Xenopus tropicalis: one gene and its partner. The protein of the gene in region 2 interacts with the protein of the main gene of each other region in a biochemical or structural test. Links are inferred from orthologs where the notes say so. Each region holds a gene or a part of one and is shown on either strand. Other genes may lie near its edges. The genes, in order: fam20c and fga.

Region 1 (4,282 bases), on a different chromosome or scaffold from region 2:
AAAGCTCCCCAATCTCTTTTTGGCGTTGACAGATGCATTCTGGGTAATGGCGAAACAGGTGAACATTCCAAGTGGGTGAATCTATTCTAAACAAGCATGCTTTTTATCCAGCATTTCCCCAGCACAGACTTTGTAATGCTGTAATAATGCAGCAGCGATATAAAGCCATTTAATATTATTAATTGCAATATATCGAAGCCTTGGACATCTTGTTACATTGTTTCCTTGGGCCTAGCTGATCTAATGGGGAAAATAACATTGATAGCATCAGATTTATATATATTATACTTGATTACTCCATTTACCTGCCATCTGTTATTACTTGTGCTTTATGATAAGTAGAAGTGTATTATAAAATATAACCCACTAATATGACCTATACAGGTATATTCTACCTTAAGTTCCCTCTATAATATAGGAAATGGCTTTTGTTTATTGAAAAGGGGGCACCCTGCATGCAAGATATATTTACTGCCTTAATTAAGTCTTTAATCCTGCAATTATCTAGCGTCTCCAAAAGACAAGAACAATGCAGCTGTTCTGGGCAACACAATGTCACTGAGCATGAAAGAGGGTGCTGTTGTATTATATTAAGTCCGGCTCCCCCCATTTGCCTTACAATGACATACAACCTTTTCTTTTCTTTATTTTAGCAAAGAGTACTTGACAATTAAACCGATACAGGTTAGACTTGTACTTATTCTAAGTGTAAAACCTGGGACAAACAGATGGTCCCAGGTATATGTTTTCTAGTTATTTCCATTATATTGCTTCTGGCCCAGCAGGTATACTTGTCTGTATATTATATGTATAAGGGGGTGAAAGTACACTATCTATCTATCTGGTTTCTATATATACACTAGATAAATGTACACCTACAAACAATAAAGAATTTGTTTAAAGTTTATATACATTTATATATAATTTACACCATTAATGGTCATTTTGTTGAAATAGCAGCCCAGGTATCCCCCCTTTTTCTTAGGGAATGGGGGGAATTAGTAAGAAATATTAACTCCCCTGTGGGGTTTAGGATAAGGAAAGAGTCTATGCAAATACATGCATGTATGCTCTTTTTGTTTGCTCAAATAAAGTGCAAGGGTTTGAAACCTGCAGGCTGTGCAGTCAATTCTGACAAGCCTGCCAACCCAGCCTAGTGAGAATGAGGCAGGTAAGGAATGCCCACTCGTGATATAGAGCAATTAAATTATCTTGGAAACCCAGAATGAATGAAAATGAGATTGTAAGTGCACGGTCCTATACCCCCTGTTTATATGGACACAGCTCATATGGCTAAATCCAACTTAGGGGCCTGCTGCTCTTATTAAACTACAGCACTCCCTGCTGGGACTTGTAGTCCTGCAATAGCTGGGATTCCCAGAGGCAATGAGGGAATACAGTAAACAATACATAGGTATAGAAGTGTACAGTATAATACAGGTAAAGAACCGCAGGGTTCGATTTTAAAATAAATAAATTTTTTTTTAAATGACCTACCAGTCCTGGGACTCAGCAGCTTTGGGGTTAAACCTAATATCACTGTTGACATTAAATAAGACATCATCCTCTGTGAGTGGGGGGACTGAGCTTTTGTACAGGGGGTGCTGGAAGAGGGCTGCCAGCCTGGAGTGCCCAGTGCCAACATGGGCTTTGTTTATACTCCTTTCCTGGATCAGCTGCTTATCAGCAATGTCTCTGGGGCCCTCCTGCTGCTCCAGCTTTCTGAACGATTCATTTTTGTCCACTGTGCCACTCAGCTTCTCTAATGAATGGGAGGTGAGGTTGGAGCTGGGGTCGCTGCTGAAGTCCTGTAAGATCCTCAGGGTGTGCTTGTTGGGCCAGCCCGGCTCCCCTGTGTTCTTGGGTCGAACCTTACCCCATCCCTGCTGGTGGGACTCCTCATTGTGATTCTGAGAGCAGGCGCACCCCATCTCCCCATCACTCCTTACTGATCTCCTCTCCAGCTTTGGCAAGAGATCTATCATGATATGCAGGGTGCAGGCCACCAGGAACACCATCAGGATCAGCACCCTGAACTTCCGAACCAGAATCATCTTCATTTTCCCCTTCTATGAATACAGAATCCACCCCCCCACCCCCAACAACCAGGTCCAAAACCAAAGGCGGCGCAGGTAGACGGAGTAACCCCCGGCGACAAGCTCTAAAGGAGAATGCGTTCTTTATAAATAGTCTCCATTTGCCTTGTTGGTTCTAAAGATGGTATCGCAATCAAGTCCGCAGGCAAAGGGAATATTAAAAGTTAAAAAGGAATGGATAATACAAAATGAAGAAGAGAATTAGCAGAAGTGAAATGAGAAAGAGAAGAATCCGAAACGTTGGAATGAGCTGGGCATAGAGCTGCTGGGCATCCCCACTGAAGTGACCCCCGGCTTCAGCTGCAGGGCTGCCTCTGCACAGAGCTGGGAATCATTGGGTTGGGACGGTTCTTCTGTAATGTATCCAGAAATCCTCATTCAGAGAGAGGGAGAGGGCAGTCACACAGGAGAGGATAGGAGACATAGGAGCAGCCCCGGCTTGGCACTCAGCATGGCTGGAAAACAAGCTGCTGAAACAGTGCAACACACACAGGGAAGAGATTAGAGCAGATCTGGGGGGGTGCTTGTGTTGCTGGCATTCATGGGTCTCCTTGATTCCTATCAAGCCTGGGCACTTACAGTGGGGAGGGCCGGGGAGCAAGAAGAGCGGATAGCGAGCAGGCAGAAGGGAAGGTCTTTGGCAGGTGCAGAGTGAAATCCCCCTGTTCTGTTCAAAAAGCATCAGTCTGCCCCTACTCGCAGCGCAGCAACTCCAGCCTCCTGTGGGTGTGTTAAATATTATGTGCAAGCGCTGGAACCTGCCTCCCCCACACGTCACACACAAGGAGATTGGCTATAGGAAGGCTACAGCGATAGGAACAGGACAAACCTCAAGCTAAAAGTAAAATCCTGGGGCTTTTTTTCTCTCTCTCTCTGTCTGTCTGCAGCTCCGGCAAAGGCAAGGAGAGGGCGGCAGCTTCTCAGGGATCTATACAAATCATTCCTGCAACAATTCTACTGTATGTCTCATAGCCACATAGCAGGGATACCATCATCATCATCATGGTGCAGGCAGGGATAGGGTGGCACTCAAGGCAAAGCTGTGTATATAGAAAGATTTATTGCTTTCCTCACTCCTGATAAGCAAACTAAAAAGCAGCTGTTCCTGGGTTGTGTTCACTCTTTGCTGGAATTATGAGCACCATTAGGTTAATATCTCCCCTGCCCTGCCCTGAGCATGAACAAATAAGGGGAGGCTGCACATTGGGATTTAACTGTGAATGCTTGCTGCTTTGCTTCTGGAATATTGGGGGGGACTTCCGGGGACCATTCCCATTGAGGCCACTGTAAAGATAATATAATAATATTAATAATAATATTATCAATAATAATATTATTCTATATTAAAATGAATTAAAAATTAAAAGTTTATGTAGATAGAAGGTTTGCTAATTTTCGTATCACTATTTCACATATAAAAATGGTTACTTCAAGAGTTTTAAGATTTTAAAGGGTAAGTAACTCCATAAAGATTAGTGAAATGCAGGTTGACCTGCAACTCATGGGTTTACTCTTAGGTTATGCAGTTAGGGTTGAGTTTACCCTGACCCGTTTATCACTAATAAAGATATACTTTCCAGCTGTTTATGTCAAACACATATGATACAATTAATCCTTCTGTGGAACTGCTAAGAGAGGCCTGTGCTCCTTTGCACAAAATTTTTTCAAAATAATGAAAGAAAATTCAGTTTTTAACAATGTTCCAAGATATATTCATTATGAATTCTCAGTGGTTATAGGCTGTCACATGTGGAGGAAAAGGAGTTGAGAAAACACTGATACAGCATGCACTTCTAGTTCTGACTCCTGAAACAATGTAGAAGAATAAAGATGATTACCAGAGCTGGAGGAGAATTCACTGTTGTTACATTATTACAGAAAGTAGTAAACGCTGCTTTTAACTTCAGTTACATTTACCAATAACGTTATTTTTTTGTGGGTTGTGGGTGATTTTGAAAAGTCTTTTTTCATTATCTAAAAGGACAACTTCCTCTTTAAATTCCCAGTTACATTTCCCTTATGTCATATATGCATTTAGTGTTCAGTACAGTGGGGTACAGTTTGGCACCTCATGGCAAAGGGACCCCAAGAAATTGGAAAGTGAGATTTTTTTTTTCACTGGGCCCTTGGAAGGAGGGCTCTGCTAACATGTGTGGGGACCCATGATTACTTAAGAGCGCAGGACA
Region 2 (3,829 bases):
AAAATATTAGCAATATTAGCTTTAAGTTTACATTTTGCTAGGCAAAGAATATGTTTTATGTCAATTTTGCCAAATGGCATGCATATTATATCATATGGGAAAATATAATATGTGCACGTATGTTTTGATAGCTACTATATGTGCCTTAAATCAATTAAAATGCCAAACTAAATAAGTGTGTAAGTTGTATATAACCCTAATTCCCAGACTCTACCTGCCTAAACTACCTGTGTATTCTTTTCTGTTTTTGTGTTTACGGTCGATAAACATATGAATTCATGAAATGATTTAAAAGAAGCTAGGTTGCCTTTATTATGTGTATTTTTTTCCTGGTTTAAAAGTGGAACCTCACACTGTCCTTTTACTTTCATTTACCTTTCCCAGTGTAATCTCCAACCAACTTCATTTCTTTTCTCACAGTGCGGGCCTGGAAATCAGGCCTATCCTCTTCACTATTATCGTGCTGGATAGGGCCAAAGTCGGTAAACACTGGCCCACTCTTCATAGATTTAATATCAAACTGAGTGCCATCTTTACTGCTTCCCCTGCTGCTGCTGCTGCTGGAGACCACAGTCTTTGTAATGGTTGACGAGCCTTCTTTTTGGAGGGGTGTAAAGCTGGGTGAATCAAGTCCTGTATGGCTAAAGTCATCAAATTCATCTTCTCCCAAATCAGTGAAAACATCATGAGTTACCTTAGAACTACTACTGCTACTGCTACTGGTTTGGCTGGTTTGTGTTTTTTTCCCAGATGAACTTAAAAACTCTTCAAAGGAAGGAATCTTACTGATATCCCCTAAAGAACTACCTCCAGAAATGTGGATAACACGAGTTCCATCAGACCCTCCTTGAAAAGTGTCATCTGTGCTTAATTTTCCTAATTTTTCACACTCCGGACCACCACTATATGTTTCAGTGATTTCTTCTTTAGGGCCCTCTGGTGTGGATACTACCCTCCTCTTAACTGTCTTAGTGCATGAAACTGTTCTTTCTGTGATGACTTTGGTTGACTGATCTCCCCCTGTCACTGTCCCTGACTGTGTACTTTTGTCATCGCCATAAATTTTAGAACCTTGAAATACTACATCTTTCCCACTGCCGGAAGGAAATACAACAGATGAGGTTCCCATAGATGAGCCTTTTACCTCGTCTTTTGTCCCTTCTAAAACAAATGCATATTGATTAATGTCTTTGAAAATTGGGAACTCTGCTTCTTGGTCTTTGCCAAGTGCCAGTGTTCTATAACGAGAGTCTACAGGAGAGTCCTTAATAGGCCTCATTTTAAGCACTCGTATGGCATTCATTTGGCTATTTAAGTCAGTGGTTTCAGCTTGCAAAAGTAGTTTCTGTATGTTGTTGTAGCTGTCATGGTCCACTTTGTAGTCAGTGTTCTTTGCACAAGATCCTTTGCAAGCACGGATTTTTATATCAATATCCACCTAAAAACACATTAAAACAGAAAAAAGTATATTATTTATATATATGTGTGTGTATATAGATAGATAGGAGATAGATAGATAGATAGATAGATAGATAGATAGATAAGAGATAGATAGATAGATAGATAGATAGGAGATAGATAAACAGATGATAGATAGATAGATAGATAGATAGATAGATAGATAGATAGATAGATAGATAGGTGATAGATAGATATATAGATGATAGATAGATAGATAGATAGATAGATAGATAGATAGATAGATAGATGATAGGAGATAGATAAACAGATGATAGATAGATAGATAGATAGATAGGAGATAGATAAACAGATGATAGATAGATAGATAGATAGATAGATAGATAGATAGATAGATAGATAGGTGATAGATAGATATATAGATAGATAGGAGATAGATAAACAGATGATAGATAGATAGATAGATAGATAGATAGATAGATAGATAGATAGATAGGTGATAGATAGATATATAGATAGATAGGAGATAGATAAACAGATGATAGATAGATAGATAGATAGATAGATAGATAGATAGATAGGTGATAGATAGATATATAGATGATAGATAGATAGATAGATGATAGATAGATAGATAGATAGATAGATAGATAGATAGATAGATAGATAGGAGATAGATAAACAGATGATAGATAGATAGATAGATGTGATTATAGATAGATAGATTAATAGATAGATAAATTTTATTGGTTACCTCAAGACGTTTCATTTCCACCACCTGATCTCTGATGTTTTTCTGAAGTGCTTTTATTCTCTCTACTTGATTGGAAACTTTCAGCTTCAAATATTCGATTTTCTTTCTGAGGTCTTCAGACACTTGATTATACTTTCCATCGCTTTCTAAAATAGGTAAACCAGAATCATTTTATCAGCTTAGCGCACATTTTGAGTGTGGGAAGGCTTATTTATCAAAATTCGAATTTGTGACTTAAGAGTTGTCCTTCAATTACAATAATGTCTACTTATTTAAAAAATGTGTTAAAAATGTAAATCTAAGAAACATGATTGAATAAAACTGTAAAAAAAACCTCAAATGCATTGAATTTGTATTTTACTCATCATGACTTTTACTTTTATATGTGGCAGAATACATTTTCTTATGTCCAATAATTTTAAATATATTTTATATATAATTGTCATAATCAAATGTTCATTTATACCTAAAAACACTGCGAAATATTATGTACACCTGTGTCTTTGGGGCAGTTTGTATTGTATTGCCACTTTTTTTGTGCATTTATGTACAAATTCTTCTTTTTGGGACTGTTTCTATTTCCTTTCTGGTGAAAATGACAATAGTTATGTCCTGCTGAATGGGATCGTAGGATTTCATAGGACACTAGGCAGTATCAACTTTATCTGATCTTATCACATTTATATTTATTACACGGCTAAATGAATACGTTTGTGCCTGAATATGGGAGAAGAAATAATTGATCATGACCCTCACACAGTTGGCTCTTACTTAAAGGAGAAGGAAAGGCAAAGTCACTTGGGGTTGCCCCCGAGTGACTTGAATCGCTTACCTTTTACCCCGGCCTGGTGCTCCTGTTCAGAGAGAACAGCACCAGCCCGGTGTAGCTGCAGCGCTTCCTCCTTCCTGCTTTGCGAGCGTGCGCATGCGCAGTAGAGTGAAAAGCCAAACAGAGAGGTCGGCTTTTCACTCTACTGCGCATGCGCCTATTGTGTTAGTCGCAGCGAAATGAAGCAGGAAGGAGGAAGCGCTCGCTCCAGGTGCCCCGGGCTGGTGCTGTTTTCTCCTAACAGGGGCACCAGCCCGGGGTACAAGATAAGCGATTAAAGTCACTTGGGGGTGCTTAACATTTTAGCACCCCCAAGTGACTTAGCCTTTCCTTCTCCTTTAAAGTGGAAAAATACACCATATAAACCATGAATTAAAAAATTAAACACATTTGCTAAACGTGTGGTGTGATCCAATAACTACTGAGTACCATATTTAAAATATTACTTATAAAGTGGCAAGTGAGTTTCTTTCTTAAGACAAGTTTTAGGTGGCATGTTTTTTAATTTTTTTCAAACCCTGCTAATTGGAAAGAAACTCAGCCCAGAGGCTCAAGCAATAGTAAATGTGCCTTGCCATGTTAGTTTTGAATCTGATATACCTGTACATAGTACAATAGTGTATCAGTGAGTTATACAAAGCATGCAGACTGATCTACACACACCAGACTGCCATATATTTGACATTTATGGTGGCGATAAAACTTGGGTAAATCAGAGTAAAAAAAGTAAAAATATAAATACATTTATAGGATCTATTATCTAGAATGTTTGGGACCAGGAATTTCTGGATAAGGGATCTTTCTGTAATTTGGATCACCACACCTTA

The links.
Region 1: of the proteins of fga (region 2) and fam20c, one has a biochemical effect on the other in vitro, tested with the Homo sapiens proteins (2 studies listed by IntAct). The link is inferred for Xenopus tropicalis from reciprocal best matches to the Homo sapiens genes FGA and FAM20C.

The regions. Positions count from the first base shown.
Region 1 is NC_030685.2:27,165,881-27,170,162, reverse strand, and holds the start of fam20c (extracellular serine/threonine protein kinase FAM20C), read right to left. Parts: upstream 2,838-4,282; 5' UTR 2,061-2,837; coding exon 1,498-2,060; intron 1-1,497. UniProt on the Homo sapiens protein: Golgi serine/threonine protein kinase that phosphorylates secretory pathway proteins within Ser-x-Glu/pSer motifs and plays a key role in biomineralization of bones and teeth.
Region 2 is NC_030677.2:54,516,938-54,520,766, reverse strand, and holds part of fga (fibrinogen alpha chain), read right to left. Parts: intron 2,320-3,829; coding exon 2,174-2,319; intron 1,439-2,173; coding exon 376-1,438; intron 1-375. UniProt on the Homo sapiens protein: Cleaved by the protease thrombin to yield monomers which, together with fibrinogen beta (FGB) and fibrinogen gamma (FGG), polymerize to form an insoluble fibrin matrix. Fibrin has a major function in hemostasis as one of the primary components of blood clots.